Linked DNA regions of Coturnix japonica. The protein of the gene in region 2 purifies or fractionates together with the protein of the main gene of each other region. This does not show direct contact. Links are inferred from orthologs where the notes say so. Each region holds a gene or a part of one and is shown on either strand. Other genes may lie near its edges.

The links. The genes of interacting proteins can lie anywhere in the genome.
Region 1: the proteins of SNAP29 (region 2) and STX7 purify together in Homo sapiens (affinity purification with mass spectrometry; 3 studies listed by BioGRID and IntAct, counting the BioPlex papers as one, with this or other methods). This does not show direct contact. The link is inferred for Coturnix japonica from reciprocal best matches to the Homo sapiens genes SNAP29 and STX7.
Region 3: the proteins of SNAP29 (region 2) and STX18 purify together in Homo sapiens (affinity purification with mass spectrometry; 3 studies listed by BioGRID and IntAct, counting the BioPlex papers as one, with this or other methods). This does not show direct contact. The link is inferred for Coturnix japonica from reciprocal best matches to the Homo sapiens genes SNAP29 and STX18.

The regions. Positions count from the first base shown.
Region 1 is NC_029518.1:51,550,343-51,557,127, forward strand, and holds the end of STX7 (syntaxin-7), read left to right. Parts: intron 1-204; coding exon 205-287; intron 288-2,763; coding exon 2,764-2,865; 3' UTR 2,866-4,162; downstream 4,163-6,785. UniProt on the Homo sapiens protein: May be involved in protein trafficking from the plasma membrane to the early endosome (EE) as well as in homotypic fusion of endocytic organelles. Mediates the endocytic trafficking from early endosomes to late endosomes and lysosomes.
Region 2 is NC_029530.1:55,818-64,130, forward strand, and holds the start of SNAP29 (synaptosomal-associated protein 29), read right to left. Parts: upstream 5,141-8,313; 5' UTR 4,988-5,140; coding exon 4,787-4,987; intron 3,489-4,786; coding exon 3,292-3,488; intron 2,289-3,291; coding exon 2,203-2,288; intron 1,859-2,202; coding exon 1,751-1,858; intron 393-1,750; coding exon 235-392; 3' UTR 1-234. UniProt on the Homo sapiens protein: SNAREs, soluble N-ethylmaleimide-sensitive factor-attachment protein receptors, are essential proteins for fusion of cellular membranes.
Region 3 is NC_029519.1:71,356,521-71,364,329, forward strand, and holds part of STX18 (syntaxin-18), read right to left. Parts: intron 7,201-7,809; coding exon 7,085-7,200; intron 6,304-7,084; coding exon 6,226-6,303; intron 6,115-6,225; coding exon 6,048-6,114; intron 4,339-6,047; coding exon 4,223-4,338; intron 1,131-4,222; coding exon 1,042-1,130; intron 32-1,041; coding exon 1-31. UniProt on the Homo sapiens protein: Syntaxin that may be involved in targeting and fusion of Golgi-derived retrograde transport vesicles with the ER.

The DNA.
Region 1 (6,785 bases), on a different chromosome or scaffold from region 2:
AACCCAGGCATTTCAGAAATGACCTCAAGTATAGGAAAGGTCAGCTTCCATAATGCATGGTATGAAACTTAGGGTGTGAATGAAAAATAATCAATACTTTGAGGGGCAAGGTGGCACACTTGCTCTCAAGTGTATTTCAGTATTCCAAATGTTTCGTTGGCTAATGACTAATCTAAACTTGAAATCTTTCCTTTTAAAATACAGATAGCATAGAAGCTAATGTGGAAAATGCTGAAGTACATGTGCAACAAGCAAACCAGCAGCTGGCAAGAGCAGCAAACTACCAGGTAATGTCAATGCCTACTGCCAGTTGATTCCTTTCTCAGTAGTCCTGATTTAATATAGTAGTTCAGAATTAGACTTTTTCTTAGGTCTTGAAGACTCTCTTGAAAGTGTATTCTAGACTATGACGGTATTGTTAGGTCACCATGGAGGTGTTTGGGGGAGAAGAGCAAGTTCTAAAAGCTTTGGATTTCACATAAAGTTAGCTAGGTTGTTTCAGATCACCTTGAATTTTACTGCTACTTAGAACAAAAATGTGTTCTTTTAACGACTAAAGAAGGAAAGGTAAAGAGTGAGTCTTTAAAGATCACTAGAAGAGTACAGAAGTCTTCTGAAGATGCTGTATTAGAATCAATTTTTACTGTAAAAATTCATCTCAAAACTTGAGTATGTCTAGTTTCTGCTAATTGCTGCCCTGATGCCAAAAATGCATTTCAAACTCTCAAATTTTCTGATGAAAAGCTCCTTTGGAAAGACCTTTTAATGCCGCTTCTTTTTGATTTTTTGGCACTTGTAACAAGTAATCTTATTACTAATAAGTCTTCCTTCTTTAGTGAAAATTAGTCCTAAGATTTAAAAAACAACAACAAAAAAATATTAATCCTCTTATGTGTATTAACAGTAGCCAAGTTGGTAAATCAATGACAAAATATCTGAAGGATTGCTTGCTGATCTCAGAAGTGGGAGGGAAAAAGGGTGGGCATGTCAAACTGTATGCTAGGTGGCAGTAATTAAGTATGACTGATGGCTATTTTGATACTGACAAAATTGTGGAAGAAAAAAAGATAGCAACAGTTAAAATTTTCTTTGGAAGGTGTCTGTTTTGGGGTGGAAATTTAACATGAAAACCTTTGCACTGATTCATCTTAAAAGGGCAAGGATAAGTATTTTCAAGGTTATCAAGTTTTTGACAAGCTCTTGTTTCATGCATCTCACAGCAGAGACCAAATACTCAGCAGAGTTTGCTTGTGTTAGGAGGGACTGTATAGTTGACTTGAAATTTGAACTTGCCTTTGCTTGAATGCTCAGCTTTGTTCTGAGTATTTGAAAAACCATTTAATATATCTGTGCTCTTACCCACTTAGGGAACTGGTAGAAGCTTAGGCATCCTACTGAGAACTAGGTTTGGTTAGTGCTCTCACAACTCCTTTTTGTGAAAGTGTTCACCATCCTTTTGCCCTGTGGGATGTGTTCATGGAGCAGAGCTACTGGGGCAAAGCCAGGCTTGTCTGCTCTGTTTCTTTCCTCCATTACTGCCGCTGCTTTATACTTGTGGAAATGATCATCAAGTGTATAAGGAAATAAGAACTCCATGTCTTTATTCCACTACCTTGCCTAAGTAGTGTTACAGAGAAAATGTTTGACTTTAATGTGGTGTTGGTAAAAAGTGCTCCAGGATGAAAAAGGAAGAAACTGGGAGTATTAAGATTTGTAGGGAGACAATCTGGCTGCAAGAATGGGACCCTAGTAGAAGGTTGAATGCTAGCAAATGAAATGATCAAACAGCTAAGGGGCAGAGATCTCAGTTTGAAAATGGGAGAAGTGAGTCAGCAAAACTAGCAGCAGAGAATATCTAAGACAAGAAAGAAGCTTGGTGGCCTGCATGGTATTGGGCAGAGACCAGGCTCAGCAAGGAACTGGCACAGATGTAGTCCCGCAGGAAAAACAGTATAAACAGTGATATAAATCTTTGCTAAAAGGAGAGCAGAGCCTTGCTCTGCCTCTGGAGCTGTGAACTAGATTCCCAAGATTTGAGTGTAATTATTCTTTGACTACTAGCAAAAGCCTGCAAAACCCATTAGTAGAGTGTGTTATTTTCTGTCTTGCTGCTTGAGATAAAGGATGAGAATCTGTTCCTAGCCTTGGTTGCTTTGGCATCTCAAGTTACAAACCTGTGTGGGAGATCTGAAAGTTTTGAACATGGTCTTACACTGCATTATAATGACATCTGTAGAGACTGAGTCTCTTTAAGTTGTGTTTTGTTGCTCTTTAAGAGCAATTTGAATGTAATAAACATAACAAAAACAACTTTAAAATAACTGAATTGATGCAAACTCCACCTTGAAGAAGTCTAAGAGATCAGTTCTTTGGGGCTACTGTATATACATTTATACTTTTAAAATATCTTTCTTTTTCCAGAGAAGGTCATTTCTACCTCCTCTACTGTGCAGACCGATTTTCCTATTTACAAGGCCATCTGCTTTCTGATATTTTCTTTTCCTAGTGTTTTATTTAAACACATTCAATATGTTGCTGCATTAATATTTGTGCCAGGAAACACTACTGAAATCATTTTGTTGATTAATACAGCCAGAAAATTAAGTCATGGATTATTCTTTCCTTTAATTACTTTATATAACTTGTTTGTAAGGAGACAGTTCAGTTAGATTTCACAAGCAGGAGGGCCATAAAAACATTTCAGTTGTTGTTTCATCTTGTGGTGCAGTTTTCAATCAATTTCTTTTTCGTCCTTGCTTACAGCAAAGATCCCGAAAGAAGATGTGCATCCTCATCGGTATACTTGTTGCTGGAGCATTGATTCTTGGAATCATCATCTGGTTTTCTCTAAATAAACATAATTGATACTTAAATTATGAAAGGAAACTTCTGCGGTAATGGTTTGCTCATTGTGAAGCTCAGTAAAAATGATGGTTTTTCTGTACTTCATCACACTCACTTTTTTTTTTTATGAGACTTTGTTTTAACTTGAGAAATAACTTTCTCAGTAATACCATAACTGCCTGCTCTCTTGGACGTGAGTGCTGCCTTACCAGTAAAACCAGTCAGCATCAAATACTGTTCCGTTAACTTAACTTAAAAACCTCTTAAGGGTTAGGAGATTAATCAAAATCTTGATAACTTGTGAAGGAAGGGGGAGTGGGATGGGATTATCACTGAGATACTGCTAAATGTTATTTCCAAAACAAACTCCTGAATTGTTGCTTGAGGCAACAAATTCACAAGTTGGAATTTAGTCTTAAGCTAATAATGTGCTTCTGTCTTTTTCCCTTCCGCCTCACCCACCTGCCCATTTGATATGGGTGGTTCAAAAACGTGACATAGATGTGAAGTTACTGTGATCTCTTTTTAACTGAAGTCTTCAAATTAAGCCTTCAGTTTGCCTCTAATCTTTCAGATGCTTAATGTATCTCTATCTGGCGTTAAGTCTGGTTATGCCTGGAAGACTCTGCGAAAGTAGATAGGGTGGATGATATAATTATTTGGATTTCTTCTTCGAGTTTTTCCATTAAGAAATAAAGTGTTATGTGCATATGCCTGGTATCTTCGCATCTGAAGTGTTTATCGGTGAGCTTGGCTAGACGAAAGTAAGCTCGAGTCTGTGAATTATTAAATTTACTGGGAAGAATAGAAATTTCCAGCTTCCGAACTGCACTTGAATGTTACTGTTCTGAAACTGCTGTGTTTCAGTTTCCATGAACAGATCCGAACTTATATGTAAAGCCTTTCATACATCTGAAGAATAGATTACATGTTAAATTCCAAGTTCAGTGATATTTGAAAACAAGTTCTTAATCAGTTGAACTTACTCAAACTGCTTAAGAATTCTGATGCTTATAGCCTTTAAAATGACCTTTCTTTTTCTTTTGTGCCATTTTGTACTAATGTATTAAAAATGTAACCAAACACTTTTTTTGCCAATTAATCTATATGCATTTTTAATTGATGCTGATGAACTAATCTAGAAAGTGTACAGATGGAAAAATTCAATTTGTATTTTATAAGGATCTTGTACACTAGACTGATAGAGAATGCACTGTTTACATGGTGAACTATGAAATGTTGCTTGGAAACAATCTAAGCAAAGGTGGACTTCAGAATTGTAACTGTGCAACCAAAATAAAGGTCTTTTAAAGTGTTACATTTTTTCTAGTACTCTTTTCTTCTTTTTCAGGATTTGTCTATATAAACCTAAGTGTTGTCTTTGTGTAAATGACTTGAATTTCTGTCTAGTACTGAAGAAAATTTCAGCTCTTCTGCTGTTCCTGTGCTAACATTTGTATTGTTAATGGAAACTCTCAGATCTTTTCTCCCCAACTCTGTGACCCCAACCTTAGGAAAACAGGTTGCTTTGCTCTGTATTTCTGGTGACACAGACATTAAGTTATCCTTTGGCACAGAGACAGGAATCCGTAGTGTGGGAAGGAGACTTATGCTGATGTATTTGGATCCCAAAAGCAAGGGAGGAAAAACTGTGTGGTTATAACCTACGTAATGTGGAGGAAAGCCTCTCAGACTGCGAGTAAGTTGTATTATGGATGTTTGTGTGTTGGGTTCCCAGCTACAGTTTTCATGTGACTGCCTTTGTGCTGAGTGCGAAGCTGGGACTCTACTTACTCTTTCTTGTTAAATAACCATCAGATTTAATTTAGACCCCTGCCAGCCATGGTAATGCTACCAATTAGTGATGCTAATACTTTGATTAGGCAAAAAGTGTTATGGTGTTTCTGTGCTTTGTTTTGTATTTAGCATGTACACCCTGGGAGGGGGGAGTAGGAGAGGGATGGTAGGGCCATAAAGACCCTTCTTTAAGCTGCACTTAATGGAGTTGCTCTCTTTCTGCCTTTTCCCTCACGTACGTATTTGCAGTCTTAATTGTATAAAATGCAGTTTTCAAGCATTTAAAGAAAATGTTGATAGTTGTTAAGAACCTTAAAAAGAAAAACAAAACATCTGGATATAATATGTGTGAGGCAGTGTTCTTAGAAGAAATGTTTTGGCTGTTTGAAATTATCCATCAGTATGGGAGATTAGCGAGGCCAAAGAAAAAACATAAATGCAATCAAAGCACTCTTCATTTTACTGAAGGAACCTGGTAAGAATAGTTCCTTTGTAGTTATCTTAACCCACTCACCAGGGGTGTCTCTTTGTTCTTTTCTGCCTTTTCAAAGAGCTGAAAATCACAGGGTCAGACAACTCTTTAAAGATTTTGTGGTAGCGTGGATTGTTTTGCTTTTCACTGCACCTTCCCCCCTTGGAAATTGTTCCTGATAATCAACAGGGTGTATGGTATCACCAAACCTCGTATCTAAGCCTTCTTACGTCACATATGAACTCCAAACGCCTATGTAGCTGGTCACTAACTTGGTCTGTTTCAAAGATCAGTTGTGCTGTTGGGTATCATTGGAAAAGACTTGCTTTGCTTTTATTTAGTTCTGGTTGAACCTTTTTGGTGTTTTCAGGAGACTGATGAGTTTTGAAGGAGGAAAGAGCAGAAAGCTCTTGTTTGATGTTTTGCTATACATCAGCACCTGATCACTTTGTTTCTTAACCATACCTGCAGCATTAAGTGGTGCTTCAGTGCATAGTGTGCAGCTTTCGTTTTCAATTTGCAATTAAGCACAAGCATCATAACCAACATTGCTGTGGGGTGGGGTGTAATTATTCTCTGATGAGGTGCCCACCTGCAGAGCCATCCTAGATGTGTTGCAAGAATAAATACCTGAAACTCATCAGCTTTCAGACATCTTCCTGCTTGTGTGTGTCTCTGATATTGCTCTTGAAGCATGCAGATAATAGAGTATTCGTTTAATTCTCTGCGTGACCCAAATGAATTCAGTGATAAAAGAATCCAAGTGTTTTCATAACAAGATCTCTACAAATGCAGAAATAACTAGAAAGAGTAACAAAATGTTCAATTTCCAAAGACAAGTTGTATTGCCTCAACTGGAATACCACTGGAGCTTATGAAAGAGGTCTTCACACTCAGAGCCACAGCATGGGCCACTGCTTCAGCTTGCCCCGAGTCCTGCCTGCAGGGTAGACCTTTGTCTGGAAAATGTGAGTAGGCACAAGCTGACACATATTTTCTGCTTTAGGGGAGAACATTAGGAAGCAGCTTGCAGAAAGGATAGTTAAATATATTACCTATCATCTGCGTCGTGCATGCTCCTACCCACCCTCACATCAGCTTGAATGTGCTCTCTGCAAGGAGGAAATGGAAATCCAAAATTAGTTTCCTGAAGCTTAGCAAAAGAGAAGAACCTTTATGTCTCTTTCTTCAAGTACTTCAGTGCCACAAAGCATCACTGAAGTAGCAAAAAATATCGTTGTCTGTTCCCTGACAGCTTTTATTCAGCCAGATAAAGAATATATAAATACAATCATGGAGACCAGCCACTATGTTGTCAGAGAGAATTAGGTTGAAGAAGCTGGGAAGATTAGAAATGCTTATTAAAAAGTAGATTTAAACTGTCTTTGTAAGGTGACAAAAACACAATGAGGCTAATCTTATTCTATGTCATACTTATTTTTGATGTCTTTAGCAAATCAGTCTTTATTTAAACTAGTGAAAGGACAATTTTAAGCAGACAGAAGCTGGAATATTTGTCCCTGATCTACATGATTTCTATTAGTTGCTAAGTTAGTTTGTAAATCAAGCAGAGAATTGTGAATCTTTCCAGGAGTGATGAGCAGCTGTCCTCTCACACAGAAGCTTTTTTTTTTCCACTGCAGACCTACAATGGTGTCCCTGGAAAAGGACA
Region 2 (8,313 bases):
GAGAAATTTTACTCGAAATGCACTTTTCCCATGTATATTAGAAAGGAACTTAAGGTGTTATGCAATACTTTTAATGGCAACAAAATCAGTAGCCTAACATGAAAAAAAAAAAAAGAGAGAAATACATAACATCTAAGTTGTTTTTTTGTTTGTTTGTTTGTTTTGTTTTTTTTAAGAGATCTCTTGAGAAGACAACTGAGAAGAACTAATGCTGGACAAAAATCTGTAACATCTTTAAAGTTGTCGAATTTTTTTATCAGTGCTTTTAATACCGATGTCCAGAATCTCTACTTTTTTGGTTAGCCGATCCAGCATATCATCTTGCTCCTCTATTTCTGTCTGCAGACCAAGAGCTAGATTTTTCAGACGACTCAACCCTGAAGACATCTCATCTGTCAAAGGAGAGATTGACCATAAGGATTCAAAGCAGAAGAAAGCATATTGTTTTAAATGGATACAACCAGGATTTCCTCTCTTCCAAAACCTTGAGATAGAAAATATTAGTTACAACTGCTTAAGTCCAAGTATTCTCTAATAATGCAAGAAGCAAAATTTAAACACTACTTCTGCATTAAAATCAGAAAGTAATCATGTCTTTATTTCCATTACAAGTTAAATGCTTAAAATGAAATTCAATCTTTATGATGAAACACCCTCTAATGTAGTTTTCACTTTTTAAAAGATCTTGTTGAAAACTGGACTGTATCTTTTCTCAGCTCAGTATTAACTATAAGCTATTTTTTCCCAACTGATCTGCATGCAGAGATATTCTAAATGTATTGAAGATTTAAGCAGTTAATTGTTTAACGCAGATGAGAAAATTAAATTTCCAGAATTTATTTGACTACAAGAAAACTATGCTATTGTGTGACCGATTGGTACAGATGCTTCTGAACCTCGTAAGTTTCGAGCGATTTGGGAGTAAAACAAATGTGCTTCCACTAACTCTTACGTTTGATTATTTCTCTGATTTACTCCTTTCTGATTTCATTCCAGTCTCTTCTTTCTGGGTCTGCTAAATAGTGACACATGTAAGCAAAGTGGCACTTAGTGTATATACACTACAGTAAAAAGAAGAGAAAGCCTGCTGAATGTTTTTGGAAGTAATAAAAAAATGCAGCAAATACACAATTTAATTATTTAGAACCTTTCAATTGTTCTATTTTCTGCAAAACATATTTATTTCAAAAGTTGCACACAGTTTTAAGTTCTCTTGTTCCAAATCAATGTACAGTTTAACACATCCATGATACAGCTGTCAGTCTGATAAGTGCAATGTATCTTTCAAGATAACTGGTAAACTTTTCATAATGAGGTAATAAGTACCATACTGCTCTAATCCAGATGTCAAGTAGAATCATTACTGTTTTAAATACTACTAGTATCTTAATAAGGCTGTTTTGTTTTTGTCATTCTATCCTAATGATATTTAAGTTACAGGATGATTCAAAGAAATATTAACCTATCCTGGGATACATCAGCACCACTTCCTCATCAAAGACCAGACATTTGCTTGCACATTCACATTTAATAAGACTGCTTTCGACCTAAGAGGACTCATCCTTTTGGTGCAGATGATTTGCAAAGACAATCTTCAAGCGTTTTTGTGTTTGTTTTGTTTTTTTTTTAATATCAAAGCTCACATGAATTATACAAAAAAAGTTATTGCGAATATATTACTTTTCTCTGGGTTGAGAACAAAAAAACTGAAAATTGTACTATGTCAAACAGCTTCAATTTTCTCACTTACCTAAGTTGTTATCAATTTTTTTGTGGTAAGCTTGCAGACATTGATTCTTTGGATAGGTATCCTGTTGCACTGGAGAAGTTGAATCTATGTTGCTGAAATCACTATCTGCTAAGAATACAAAATAAAGTATACAATAAAGAAGAATTGTGTTTTGGAAAGATATCAAAACTTAATTTGAATATAGATGTCATGTACATTTAGCATTCCCTCAGGTAAAGGCACTAGCGAGTCACTTCTGCCCTCTGTTGGACAGGCTCATAACGTTACGTGAAACATAATGGATATTGATGTTATCAGAAAGCATTTCTTAGAGAATTACAAATTGGGAATGCTAGGAGGATACCAGTCTCCAGAAGTTAGGCAGCAACACAAGTCAGCAGTTGATCCTACTTTCACCACTGAGCAAGTTCCCTCCACTTTGACGACAGGCATTTAGTATAAAATAAACAAACCTGAATTATCTAGGCGCCTTAAATTTGGATGACTTTCCTGGTATTTTGAGTCTTGTTCTTTGCTAGACATCATTGCTTCTTTTAATCTGGTAATAGAAAGAATAAAGCATTCTTACAGATCAAAGGTTTCATTCTAAATCAGTTAAAAAGCAACAGACATTAAAATTATCCAACAAAAGAGAACTTCCTAGACATGATCCAACATGTCCCTTTACAAATAATTATTATCACATCTTCAGTGAAAGCAGAATCAGTTGCTCTAGTGCTGAAAATAGCGTAAGCTTTGATATCAAGAACAAAACCACATCTGCAGTCTTGAAGGCAACCTATTCCTTTCCTCTAATTGAAAATAAAAAAGGGAAGCAGGAAAATCAATCCATGCAGCACTACCATGTTTTACATAAATTTCTCAGCTGAAGACACAGATGTACTATAAGACATAGTAATTCATTTCTTTTTATAACTTTTAATAAATAAAGTTGAAAAAGATGCATAGTATTTAAGAAGAAGCATGCCAACGCTGCAAAATCATGATTTCCTACTACAATTGAATAAAGCATGATGATCCAGGGGACTCTAAAAAATAACTTGTGAATAAATTCATAAAAATCTTAAGTTATTGTTACCGTTAGAAATATAAGATTTTTTTTTTTTTCAGAGTTAAAGCAAAAAGGGAACCAGACACCATCTCAGGAGTTTACAGATTCAATACATTATTTGTTAATTCTGATTTTTCTGGTGACAGTTCAGAGATGTTATGGGGGAAGAAAAAAAAAAAGCAAATGGTCTAACTGAGGAGCTCAGGAGAAAAACACATGAATGAAACTAGTGATGCTGTGAGGAAACAGAAGAAACTCTCTTTCTTAAAATCAGATAATTGGAGAGGGATCAAAGAGCACATTGTAGACAGCCAAGACCCTAGTAACAGAATGAGGAGTATATGACAGCACTGCGTCCCACTTCAAGGCTTACTCTAGAAGAACTGCTCTAGATCCAGATTCTCTCAGAAGATTTCTGATGACAGGTAATTCCCCTGCTTGAACCCAAGAAAACAGCATCATGCCCTGATAAAATTTTCATTTTACTTACCTACTGTTGCCATAATATTCAGGCATCCCATTCTGTTCTGGTTTGTTCTCAGGTGGCTTGGCTTTAAAGTAGTTAACCAGGCCTCCAAAAACACTCTTAATGCTATTTATGTGCCTTTGACTAGTCTTCAGGTCCTGGTCCATTTTATCAACCATTAGTTCTGTACGCTTCAGTGCCTCTCCTTGACGTACGAGCTCCTAATGGATATTGACAGATAAAATGAAGCTAGTAAAGCCAAGGTAAGCTGAAACATCAAGCATTTCAATAAACGTGCTTTAAAAAAAAAAAAAAAAAAAAAGCCTCTATGAACTATGCAGGCTACTCCTAAAGTCATGCAGCCTTTTCACTCACTCCTGTTGTTCTGGGGCATTTCAGTGAAAAGCTGGCAGTAAGGTACAGCATTGGCCAGCTACAAAATTTTTGCACAACCAGTTTCTCGGTATGTACTACAAAAGGGATTCAGGCACTTCCCATGCTGGCCTTCTGTCAGTTTGTATTGCTTCTTGATGGAACAAATATTGCACCTAACGGACAATGTAGTGAAAATGCAAAGGTTTACAACAGGGAAATAAAAACTACGTCTAGTTCTGAAACTGGAAATTAACAAGGGATGCTATTTTCATATTGCTAGGTTGTTCCAGATGATTTATAAACAGACTAGTTAAAGAAAGTAAATAGAGCTAGAATTTTTTTCTTCCTGCAGGATTAGTTTTAAGGTAATGCTAACGGTGCAGAAGTTATAAATCCTGGTATGCACAGCTGTGTTATTTTGTATTTCAGTGGTATTACGCCAAACCAATCCAAAGATTCATTCTGACAGAAGACGTGCCCTCAGCTAATGCCAATGCAAAACCAAGGACTTGCGTTTATCTACAGAACTCCAGAATTACCATTAACATTAAGCTAAGGCCCAATTCTTGGTCCCTCATTTCAGCCATTTGTAGCTCGCTAAGCTGCCCCCAGCACTGCTCCTGGAGCCACCCCGGCAGTCACGGTGCAGCACTCAGGCAAATTCCCAATTACCGGATGACATCACAGCAAGGCCCTCGTTAGCGATGTCTGAGTATAGACTGCACTCCAAAACAAGCACGTGAGAATTAAGGAAATGATTAACAGAGGTGGAACCAAGAGCGTAATCGACAACAAAGCACGCAGACTTCTTATTTCATCAGAGAGCTGCTGAAAACTAAGTATATATGCACTGTTAATAAAACCCAGTAAGAAACTGACACGGCTGAGTTCTGCTCTCAGTGTAAGAGGAATCTAACTGGGATTTCACGCTTTAAAAACCAGCCTTCACCAGCAGCAAACCGTGACACGGAGGGGCGTGCTGCCTCTGAGACGCCGATCGCCGAGAAGCAACGACAGCGCCCAGAGGACGGGAAAACATCAGCACCAAAACCCACAACGGCGCGGGGCGGCGGGAGGGAACAGCCCGGGCCGGGAACAGGGGCGGCCCCGCCGCCGGGTCGGTGCCGCAGGGGCCCAGACTCACCTCGGAGGTGGCCACGCCGATGCGCTCGGACTCGTAGAGCAGCGAGAGGGAGCGCGCGGTGCTGTCGGCGGTGGCGGCCGTGCGGCGCAGCACCTCCTGCTGCAGGGAGCGCTGCCGCTCCGCGCCGCGCACCTCTCCGCCGCCCCGCGTCTCCTCTTCGTCCTCATCGAAGGGGTTGTAGCTCCTCGACGCGACCGACATGGCGAACCCCCACACCCCGCTCACGGAGCCTTCGCTCTTCCGCCCGCACGCACTGGGCGGCACTACCGCTTCCCCGGGGCGGGCCGAGCGCTCCGCTCAGCGAGGGCGGTTCTGCGGCGGACGGGCAGGGCGGGGAGCTCCGGGCAGGGCGCCGCCATCTTCTCGGCGCGATTGGCGATCCACAATGTCGCGAGACGGGCGCTCTCGCGAGAGGTCTCCAGCCGCTCCTTGACGTCTCTCACGCAATGGCGGCCGCGACGGTTGCGGCGGCGGCAGCGGCGGCAGCTACGGCAGCAGCGGCAGCCGCCGCGACCGCCGCCGCGACCACCGGCGGCACCACTGGCGGCGCCGCAGCTCCTTCGGCGGGCACGGGCCGAGGGAGCGGCGTGGGAACCGCGCGGGGCTTCTACTTCAATACGGTGCTGTCGCTGGCGCGGTCGCTGGCAGTGCAGAGTCCGGCGCCGCTGGAGAAGGTGGGGGGGTGTGACTCGCGGGGGCTGTCGCGCGGGTGGGAGCTGGGCGCGAATGAGACGCGGGTGCGGTGAGGGAGAGCGCCCGGCTGTGCCCGTGTGAGCGCCGCGCAGTGCGTGGCTCTGCGGGATGAGCGCTGGCCGTGGGCGGCCGGGCGCTCTCGTGGGCCTGCGGCGAAAGGGCTGCGCGCTGACGAAACCCGGGCTGGGGCTCGTGGGGCGTAATTGGTCTTGGCCTTGTGGGAGCTGGTCGCGAGTGCAGCATTTGGTGAAGTCAGAGTGATGTTATTTGCTGAGATAGACATCTGCCGAATGTCGAACTCAGCAGGAGGGTCTCAGTCTAGGGAGGCGTTCTGCTGTGATCTCTGCTCCGCTTGGAGCTGTGGCCGTGAGGAGACGGCATCACAGCTTGGTGCCTGCGCGCAGGGTGGCACAGCTCTGTACCAACAACTGCTGTACGTGGCTGTTCTCACCCAGGTGCTACAGGGCTTTTATTTAGTTTTTCTGAAGTCCTGTTGTTGGTCATACACCTAGCTGCAAATCATAAAATCATAGAATCATTATAGTTGGAAAAGACCTCTGAAACAGTCTAGTCCAACTGTCAGCCCAGCCCCGCCATGCCCGCTGAGCTGTGCCCCTCTGTGCCACATCGCCCCAGGGAGGTGATTGAGTCACCGTCCCTGGATGTGTTTAAGAGCCTGTTAGGGTGCGATGCTCAGATATACAATTTAGCAGAGGGTTGTTGGAGGTAGGGTGCTATGGTTAGGCTGCGGTTGGACTTGGTGATCTTTGAGGCCTTTTCCAACCTGAGTTATTCTATGATACTATTATCTCCACATTTTTAAATATCCCCAGGGACAATGGTTCCACCACCTCCCTGAGCACTGTTTCTTCATATCCTGCTGTTTGCTCCCTGTTACCTGTTGTTAATTTTTTTCTTCAGTATGAGAAACTACAGTAGGAGTTAAATGATATCAGTAAGTGAGCTGTGTAATTATGATGCTTTGAAAAGTTTCTGAAATTCTTTTGAAATACAAAAAGAAGCTGACTCAAGCATTGCAGGAAACTGAAATCAACCCATGTCAAATAGTTGTAGATTTTCCCGGTATCTATTACTCATTTCTTTTTCTTGGGCCTTAGATGTTTTCATTCACACACTGATGCTTAAAGGAGGGGAATGTGGCCAAGCTGGGTGTCCTACAGGAACTGGAAAGAGCACTGTCCCCTTCAATTACAGGAGCTCTGGATGAGTGCTGAAATCCACAGCCTCCAAGACTGATTCTGAGCTGTGAAAATACTTGCATGTGTTTTGGTGCAGCCCTGACTTCTGCTTGGGGTGCTGTGGGACATGGATGTGATGAGTAGAGATGGTCCTTAAAAAAAAAAAAATAAATTCAAAGGTCTACTGAGTTGTTTTTTTGGTTTTGTTTTTCTGTTATTGTGTTTTGTTGTTGTTGCTTTGAAAGATGGTCCTAACGCTCATTTGTTTGGTTTCTTTGCACTGCTCTTTGTTTTTTGGCCTTGTTCCCCATCGTTCTTTCATTTCACTGTTCTTCAGGTACAGAAACTACTCTGTATGTGTCCAGTGGATTTCCATGGAATTTTTCAGCTCGATGAACGTCGCAGAGATGCTGTGATTGCTCTGGGAATCTTTCTAATTGAATCTGATCTTCAGGTATTTTCTCTGTTAGGCTTCCTCTTCTGAACTTGAATTGGATTAATTCAAATGCAGTAATTCAATTAATGAAAAATTGTTATTATTTATTCTAAAAGTTGGCATGATAAAAGGTCAGAAATAAAAGATGGAGCAGGCAGGAGAGACAAGGAAACAAGAACAGTACTGATGCATATGATCGTTGCAGATTAAGGAGAGACAGAAAAGATTAATTAGTTTTATGTGGGCTTGCAGGTGGTGGTAGACTAGACGGAGGCAGTTGTGTAAAAATTTTAAAGGGTAGGTGATGAATTAACCACATAGCATTGAATTTGAGGTAGTAAACGAGGGAAGTGGCTTATGAGGGGAAGCATGATTCGTACTGTCAGGTTCGTAATAGCCTCATTATGCCTTAGCATTAGCTAGGATTAATCTTGTATTCTGATGTCGTATTTAGTAAAACAAGTTTTTTCCTCCTTAGATTGCTGCTGCTGTTCTTTTTCCCATTCCCCTTTTCCCTTCCTTTCCGGGCCGGGGGCCCTACGGGGCAGCTGCCCCTGTCACGGGCACAGGTAAATCTAGGTAACCCGTGACAGACACTCAGTTTATATAGTTGACTTTGTGTGCAGGCATCCCTGTTGTATCTAATTATGACAAGCTGTTTTTTGTTTTGTTTTGTTTTTTGTCCTCCAGCACTGCATGTGGTATTGTTTTTTAAAACAGAAAGGAAATATATACTGGCTCCAGGGTCCAAAATCATTAGACTTCTTTGTGCTTTTCAGTTTCGCTAGGGTTTGAATTGGCCTGTGTTTCCACCTGTGATTCAGCTTGTATGCATAGTAGACTTTTTTTTGTAGTATGAAACTTAAGGCAATTGTATTCATTCCTCTTAGCATTTTTGTAATGTTTTCAAAGCCTTCAGTTTTAATTAATCCAGGTCTGTAAGGAAGGAAAATATTATCCCTTGATTTGTAGATTTAACACACCCATTTTGTTAAATGGGTGTGCAGACTAATTTGTACAAGGCCATAGGGTGGGTCTCATAGAGTATATAGAGGTTGGCATTTCTAGAAGTCTAACTGCCATGAAATTATTTTGTGACTTTGCTGAAAATCAGTACATTAATTGGAGAAAGAAGATCCAGAAACTTAATTAATCCCAACTTTTATCAAGAATAAACTTATTAATTTGAGTGAAATGCT
Region 3 (7,809 bases), on a different chromosome or scaffold from region 2:
CCCCAACCAGCCTCTGGTTCTCCTGTTCGAACTGGAAGAGAGAAGACAGTCAGTCTCATTGGGGTTCACATGCCTGGACTCAGTGAACTTTCTCCATCCCCATCCACACACCCACCCTTCCCCTTCACAAAGCTCCTCCAGAATTACCACCGTCAGCCTAAACGAACAATATGAGCCTTCACATCCATCGTCAAACACTGTAATGGTCCTTACTGCCCTCCTGTTATGAACCAGACCCAATACTAACCTACAGTTGGCTCCAGAGTTCTGCACTAAGGAAAATGTCCTGCCTTAAGCTCGTCCTTTTTTATTTCAGACATTTAAATGGGGGAAGCTTTCCCATCATGTGGTTCTGTCTTTATAACACCATTCACCTCACTCGTGTACTACCCATAGCATGAAGTTACAGCTTTTAGATTTCACTACACTACGAAGCATTTTGCCATCTGGTACTTTGTGCTTTACAAATGCAACGGCCTGACTTCAGTTATCTCATGCATATTTCTCACAATCTAGGACAGACCAGTCTGTGATAACACAGAAGCAGCACACAGGACTCACCTACCTTTAAGTTCTTACTTAGCATGTGCTCTAACAAGCTTCACTTCTACATCTTGAGTGGTATGCACAGCCCAAATACCAGAAAACAGGATTAAAATCCCAAAGTATTTGACATTGGATCTGTGCAAGACAGCAAGCCCAATTCTACTGCTGTTAATCTACTTAGTTTGAACTAGCTTTGGGATTTGGGTGTAATTCAATCAAGTTACAATTTAATTAACAGAATAAGCACGTCAAGGTGGCTGAGGGGAGTGCATGGTCTGGGTGTCCTGTTTGGGACAGAGCAGAGTGGCACTGCTCACAGGTCAGGCTGGGTCTGCAGTAGGACCTGCTCACCATTGGAGCTAATGCCCGACGCTTCAGCTCGCAAGAAAACCAGATGAAGCTGTAAATGAACGTGTGTAAATCTGAACTTACTTCGCACATATGGACATGGCAGGAAGCACAACGAAATGGACAATGAGATAAGTGCATACTTGCCATTTGTATTTCTTCAGGTGACAGCTCGTCTTCACCTTTCCCATCCCCCCATAGCCCAAGGTTAGACTGAGCGTCGGGCAGATTCCTGTCTGTAACAGAACAACCAGAGTTTGAGACAATGCAGGACAGTGAGCAGCGAAGCAATGAGCATTTCTCAATATTTCTGAGCTCTGATAAAACTGTTAGATAGCATTTCTCATTAACTGAGATTGAGCGTACAGTTATAGCACAGAATTACACCAATGGCCTTTAACTTTTAAACCAGGGCAGAGATGGACAAGTACATGGGAATTTGTGGACTATGAGGAGTATGTAAAACAACTCACAATGGACCGAGACTTAATAGGGCAGAATATACCACAGCACCTGAATTTAGAAGAACAAAACCAGGGGGTCCCTGCCCACAGCAGATGGTTGGAACTAACTAGATAATCTTTAAAGGTCTCCAACTTAAGCCATTCTATGATTCTAAACCAATGTTCCAAATGCCAGTCTCTATGCAGAGCTACCATCTCCCAATGAGATCTGACAGAACCACCAGCTCCTCATTCCACAAATGTAAAAACAGACTCCCAAAGACATTTTGAGCTACGCTGACAAGAGAAATCCAACTTATTCACATTGCTCAGGCTGCGTTTTACAGAGCAAATCCCACAGCACTCTGGGCAAGGGGCCTTCCTGCATGTAACAGAGTCAGTTCTGAACCCACAAAATAAGCCCTACACATCAGAGCTGCTCCACTGATTTCACCAGCACTTTCCCTTTGATTGAAGCTAATCATCTGCATAAATCTTAGCAGGAGTTGGGCATAAAACATCTTCAATGGCTATTTCTAGGATATTCCCTTCTAGAAGATTTATTTTTAGGCTTAATTATATACCTCTAATTATAGACGAGGAAGTTAGAATGGGAACAAAAAGGAACTTTACAACAGGAACCTACTGCTTCTGAAGCTGTTCTAATATTGGTTTAAACTCCTAACATTAACACTGCAACCTTGAGAAGGCCTCCTTCCCCCAGAGGCATTATTACAAAGCCCAAAACAGAGATCTGCACCAGCTGCAAATGAATTCAGATTTGAACTTGCTTTAACTTACCCTGCAAATTAAAATACAGCAAGATTTAGTTCTCATTTCTTTACGGCTTTCAGGTTTTCTATTTATTCTAGTTGGTCTGCTGGTTTCTGGGGGGGACAGACTGGTCCTCAAACCAGGATGGACAAGCAGTGAGAATGTTACAAACAAAGGATATGGACCTTAAATCAAATAGCTGCTCTTTCTTGCAAGTAATAAGGAAGAAAAACAAGAGCATTTCTAAAGATTGTATGGAAAGGATTCAACCCAATCTTGTCCACTGGGCATCATCAGTATTTCCAATCTATTTCACACAGACAAAACTTGTTTACCTGATCAATATTTCTAAATTATATCAAAATGTATTGAATTCAAAGAAGAGAAGATAATTAGTTTACGGAGCTAAGAAATAAGTAATATTCCTATTTTATCCCAGAGGAACCAATTACTTTCAGGCACTGTCAGCACTGTTAAAACCAGCACCTGTTATCCAATGTGACTGCTAATAAGTAAATACCCAAGTAAGAGGCAAGTGAGAAAGACACATCTCCTCAGAGCTGCATTCAGTCACCATGGTACCGCCAACAGAGCATGTCTCCAGAGAGATTGTTCTCCTACCACAAAGGCATGTAGGTGCCTTATCTCAGTAGGTGCTTTATCTCAGAAGTGTCCCATTTTGGTTTATACCTGCTGAAACACCAGACAAAACCCAAGTGGTGCCCTGGTACTCCAAGGAGAACACTCAGTTTCTCATTATAATGTTAAAATTAAGGACAGGACCAGCACCTTCAACAAGCTTCAACAAGCACCTACCAGTGAAGCTACAAGGCTGACTTCTATGGACAGGAGCTACCAAATGCACATTTTGTGCACTTCTAGTCTATTTCAGATTTATGTTAACATACAACTTTCCTAGTTTTTTTCTAAGACTGGTCAGCATCCCCTTGGAAGCACCGCACCCCCCATTGGAAGCACTACATCAGCATCACTTCTGAAACCAGACCCATATGTCTAGCTGCCTTCTCATACAAAACTATGGGGTAAGCTAGTAGGAACTAAAACTGGAGTAAACAAAATGTGTAATAAACTGTTCTTAGTTTCTATTTGTTGCAGTGGTTTGCTGTGTCCAAAGCAACCACAGAACAGTGTTTTCTTCCCACAGTGTGGCACAGATTTCTGAGCTAAAGATTGCGGTGCTGCTTTGTGTGATGCTTTCAGAGACTGTGGAAACATTCGACAATGAGGAAAGCACTGAGCTCTGCAGATGTTATTGTGCTGTGCTCCTTTGCTGTTGGTACAAACTCACAGCTGCGACATACTGATAAGGTGTTAAGGTGAAACTCACCCATGTGCTTGTGTGCTGCATCTCTCAAGACACTAAGCACTAGAAATGACACCTCATCAAAACCTTTACCTCTTATAGTAAATTCAGCCTCCTGAGAGGAGGAAAAAACCCAATGTGTATCAATAGGGCTGCACTACAAACTGGTTAGAAAGATAAGCAAATACCAAATCGAAAAAGAAAGTTTGTATGTAGTGAGGTAATTCAATATTCGAGTCTTCATTCAGAAATGGAGTACCCCCTTCATATGAGCCCACCCTTTGTAGGACCTACATGTCACTCCTCAGAGAAACTTCACTCTTCATAAAAAATAAACAACAGATTAGCAGACTAATGCTAATTGTCAGCCAATTATATATAGGAGAAACCATGCTAACTTTCTTTGAAATTCCTTACAATGAAGAACACCAGTAAGGTTAGGTGGTTTTGCACACCAAGAATCATAGAATCACAAGGTTGGAAAGGACCTACAAGATCATCTAGTCCAACCATCCTCCCTTTACCTACAGAAAACCCCTTAAACCATGTCTCCTAGCTCCCTATCCAGGCACTTCTTGAACACTGCAAGGGATGGCAACTCCACCACCTCCCTGAGCAGCCATTCCAGTGCCTGACCACTCTGAGAGAAAAAGTTCCTTCGTATGTCGAATCTAAACCTCTTCTGATACAACTTGTGGCCATGAAGAAGAAATAATTCAGGGAAGAAGAAAACAGGAAAGTGCGAATTACAGGAACGGGAATAGGCTTGTAATGGTTTTATTCTTACCTTTATTTTCCTCTGCAGAAAGTTTTTCTTCAGACTCATCTAAAGAACTTTGTGAAATTTTTTCAGGAGAAAGAGCTGATTTGGACACATTGCTCTGCTCAGGTTCAAGTTTGGACCTACAAGCACAAGAGCCTGCAATTTAATTGAGTGCAAGTGCATCTCTAAACTAAGAAAAATCACAGATTTCTTAAATTCACCTCACTCCAACCTGCTTTTGCAGACTTCACATTGAAGATTTCCCAGTCTAAATGCAAAACGGATTTAACAACCTTCACTGAAATACTATTACAAAAGCAAAGGAAGCACGTAATCTTGAACAACACAAATCACATATTCAGAGTTGAGAAGAATTTTGAAGGCCTTAGCATGAAAACCAGACATTTTGTTAAAGTTCCTGTCAAAAATAATCATATTAAAATATACAAAGTTTGGTCACTATAACATTTTTTAACTAAAAAATAGCCATCTTACCCAGTTCATTTTTTCAAGTACCATCTACTAGTTTACTTTATATTTTAAATTATCATAAGGAAGAAGTACACAAATATAGCAGAAATAGCTCTTTCCTGAAACAGGCTTATTTTATTTAACTAGCTGTAAGGAACAGCTTAACCAGGATGAGAGTGATCCTTACCTTGTCTGCCAAGAGACAACAGACCATTTAGAAGCAAAGCAAAGAAAAACCGTATGCAATGGTCAGCTACACATTCCATCTAAGTCACTGCTATGTAATTTTAATACAAAAGCAATTAAAAAAGGAGAAGCGTATTCAGTGCTTACATCAGCACTTCTGTATTTGTCAAGGATTCCTCACTATGAGTGGCTACATACTGTTTTTTCTAGTAAGCCTTCAAGGTCTACTGTTGTCTACTATGAATTCTGTAACTACCTGGTAGATGGTTAAATGCTTAACAATCACGCTGATAGAAAAGCTAAAGAACAACAGCAGAAAACCACCAAGAAATAACGCGCTGCATCACACGCTGTGCCACCTTCATCACTTCCTCCCCTCTCAAATATAATCAACAGTTAATCTCATTATGATCCGCAATCTTCTCCCGCTGCTCAACAGAAGGTGTTGCATTTTGTTTCTTTCCTCCTTTGTATTGCGTCTGAATTCTAACTCATAATTAGAAAATTCTAAGAAAAACAGTATAATGTATTAGTCATCGCTGGCTGACGACGTTATTTAAACAAGGAGAAAATAACAGGATGCATTTATTAGTACTAAAAACTCCACAAGTCTGATTTCTGGTCACTTCAACACTGAAGAATTTCTCCTCCCTCCCTGCTCAAGTTTGCTGAATACCAAGAAAGAAACCCAAAAAAACTTATTTGGATGTCCATGCTGTTAAAATGATAATTCTGACATTATAAAACATTAATTCAGGATATAATCAAAATCCGAACCACCCCAATGGAACCAGCCCATTATGTAAGACAACAGTACCACTCCAGTCACTCGTTGAAGAGCTTTGGGTGTTCAGCTGTGTAAAAGTAAACACGATAAAGAGTATTCTAACTGCAAACCTCTCAGAACTGTTTAATAAGCAAATATTTTACACTAAGTTGCAGGAAGAAGTTCTGCACTAGGATTAAGTTACTTCTGAATAAATGCATTTTTTCATTATCACACGAGAAGTATAAGAGAGCCCTGGAATGCACCTGCTGATAGTGAAAGTTCCTCACCCAGCTAAAGATTTCCATCTAGAACAATCTCCTTAGAATCTAAACATGAATAGAAGTTTTGCTAAATGCCATACAAGCTAAAGGCACAGGCTAATCTGTTTTGCTTATGTTTTGACAACGAGAGCTCATTACTCACAGTCTCTTCTTATCTATCACCCGCTTAACTCGGATGGCTCTTTGTTCTGAATACAGCTTACACACTCCTAGTTGAGAGATCAGTAAAAAACTTCAGGTTAGGAGAGCATGATTTCCTCCTTGGAAAATACACTCATTTGTTTTTAAGCACTCACTGCCGCAGAAGAAATACTACGCACTTTTTAAGTAATCTTCAATGAAGTCTAAGACAGCTGTTCTGTGCTCCTTCACCTGAGCAGACTGGATGTCCTTGTGTGCTGAAATGAAAAGAAAGATACAACATGATCTTCTAATTGGTTATTGCATTGCACAGAAGCCTGCATTTTCAGATCATACACAAGTTATATCCAAATGCCTATTAACATTTTATATATATTACACAACTCTTTTCAACATTGCTATATTTAAGCATAGGTTCTGTAAATCTGTACATTATTATTACACACTATTACACGATGTTTTTATTATATTAAGAAATATTGATTTGCTTTGTTGGGGTTTATTCTGTTCGAGTTAAAAATGTTAAGAGCTACACCCAACAACTCAAGATAACATCCATAGTTGAAGATAATTTCTGAGGAGTTTATGTAATGATAGGGATGTTATTCCATTTTACACAGTGACTTAACGATCTCAAACTTGGAAAGAGTATCCCTGTACAATGTTATAGGTGGACACCATAGAAAGAGACTGTCACTGAGCTTTGACTCAGTCCTCTATGCCATAGTGCAACTATGTAACTAAACAGTAAATATGTAAGACTATCATTTTTATTTGAAAACAAAGCACACCATGCTTGTTAATTAGTGCACACAAACAAATAACATTCAATGCTCTGGCTTATCCTTTCACTTGCATAAAAGAAGCAGTCGTGGTTCTACTCAGTCAACAGGATTATAAAGGTGAAACAAAAGAGGAATGAGGCTTTACCAGTCTCTTTACAAAAGCATTCAGAACTCACAATGCCATGCAATATTCATTCTCATATTACCCTTAACCGATAACTAAGAAAGAACATTTAGAAGCTGCTCAGTTTACCTTCTGTTCTCAGCTGATGAATGGCATCTGCACACGTCCTCATAAATATCTGAGCATCTTGATCTATCTGATCACGCTCGGTATCTGTCATCCTCCCATATTCAGACATAATATGGCTGAGAAACAAGACAAACTGTCACTTATGAAATCCCTAACATAACACCTACAAGTGCACATTTAGGATCTTCTTCCCACTCGCCATCTCCACAAAAAGCCTTTTTGCAACACTAATTTTCACAGAACATGGAGACATAAATTATTTGTATGAATAAAAAGTGCAATATCCATCAATTCTATAGAGCTGAAAGGTTTTTTACAACATTTGTTTGGAGTGGGAAAAGATATAGGAAGAACAATATATCTTATCGTCTCCTGTATTATCCAATACTGAGCAAGTAAGGAGAAAATACAACCAGAAAATAAATAGTCACCCTCAACACTTACCTAACTGTGCAAACTTCACTTCTAAATATAAGAAAACAAATAGAATAAAGGAATAGCTCCAACACTAAAGAAAGTATAACAGTTTGTAACTTATTTCACCTATGTATGCTTTTAGTTCCTAAATGCTGAGCTTCATTTTTAAAGTAGCTGTATTATGAAATTTGTGAATTCGTACCTTTTATATCAAGTAGATTATAAGACTTATTGCAATCTGTCCATATTGTTTATTTCCATTTTACTTGATCCATTATACATTTAATATATTCTAGTAGAGTTAGTAT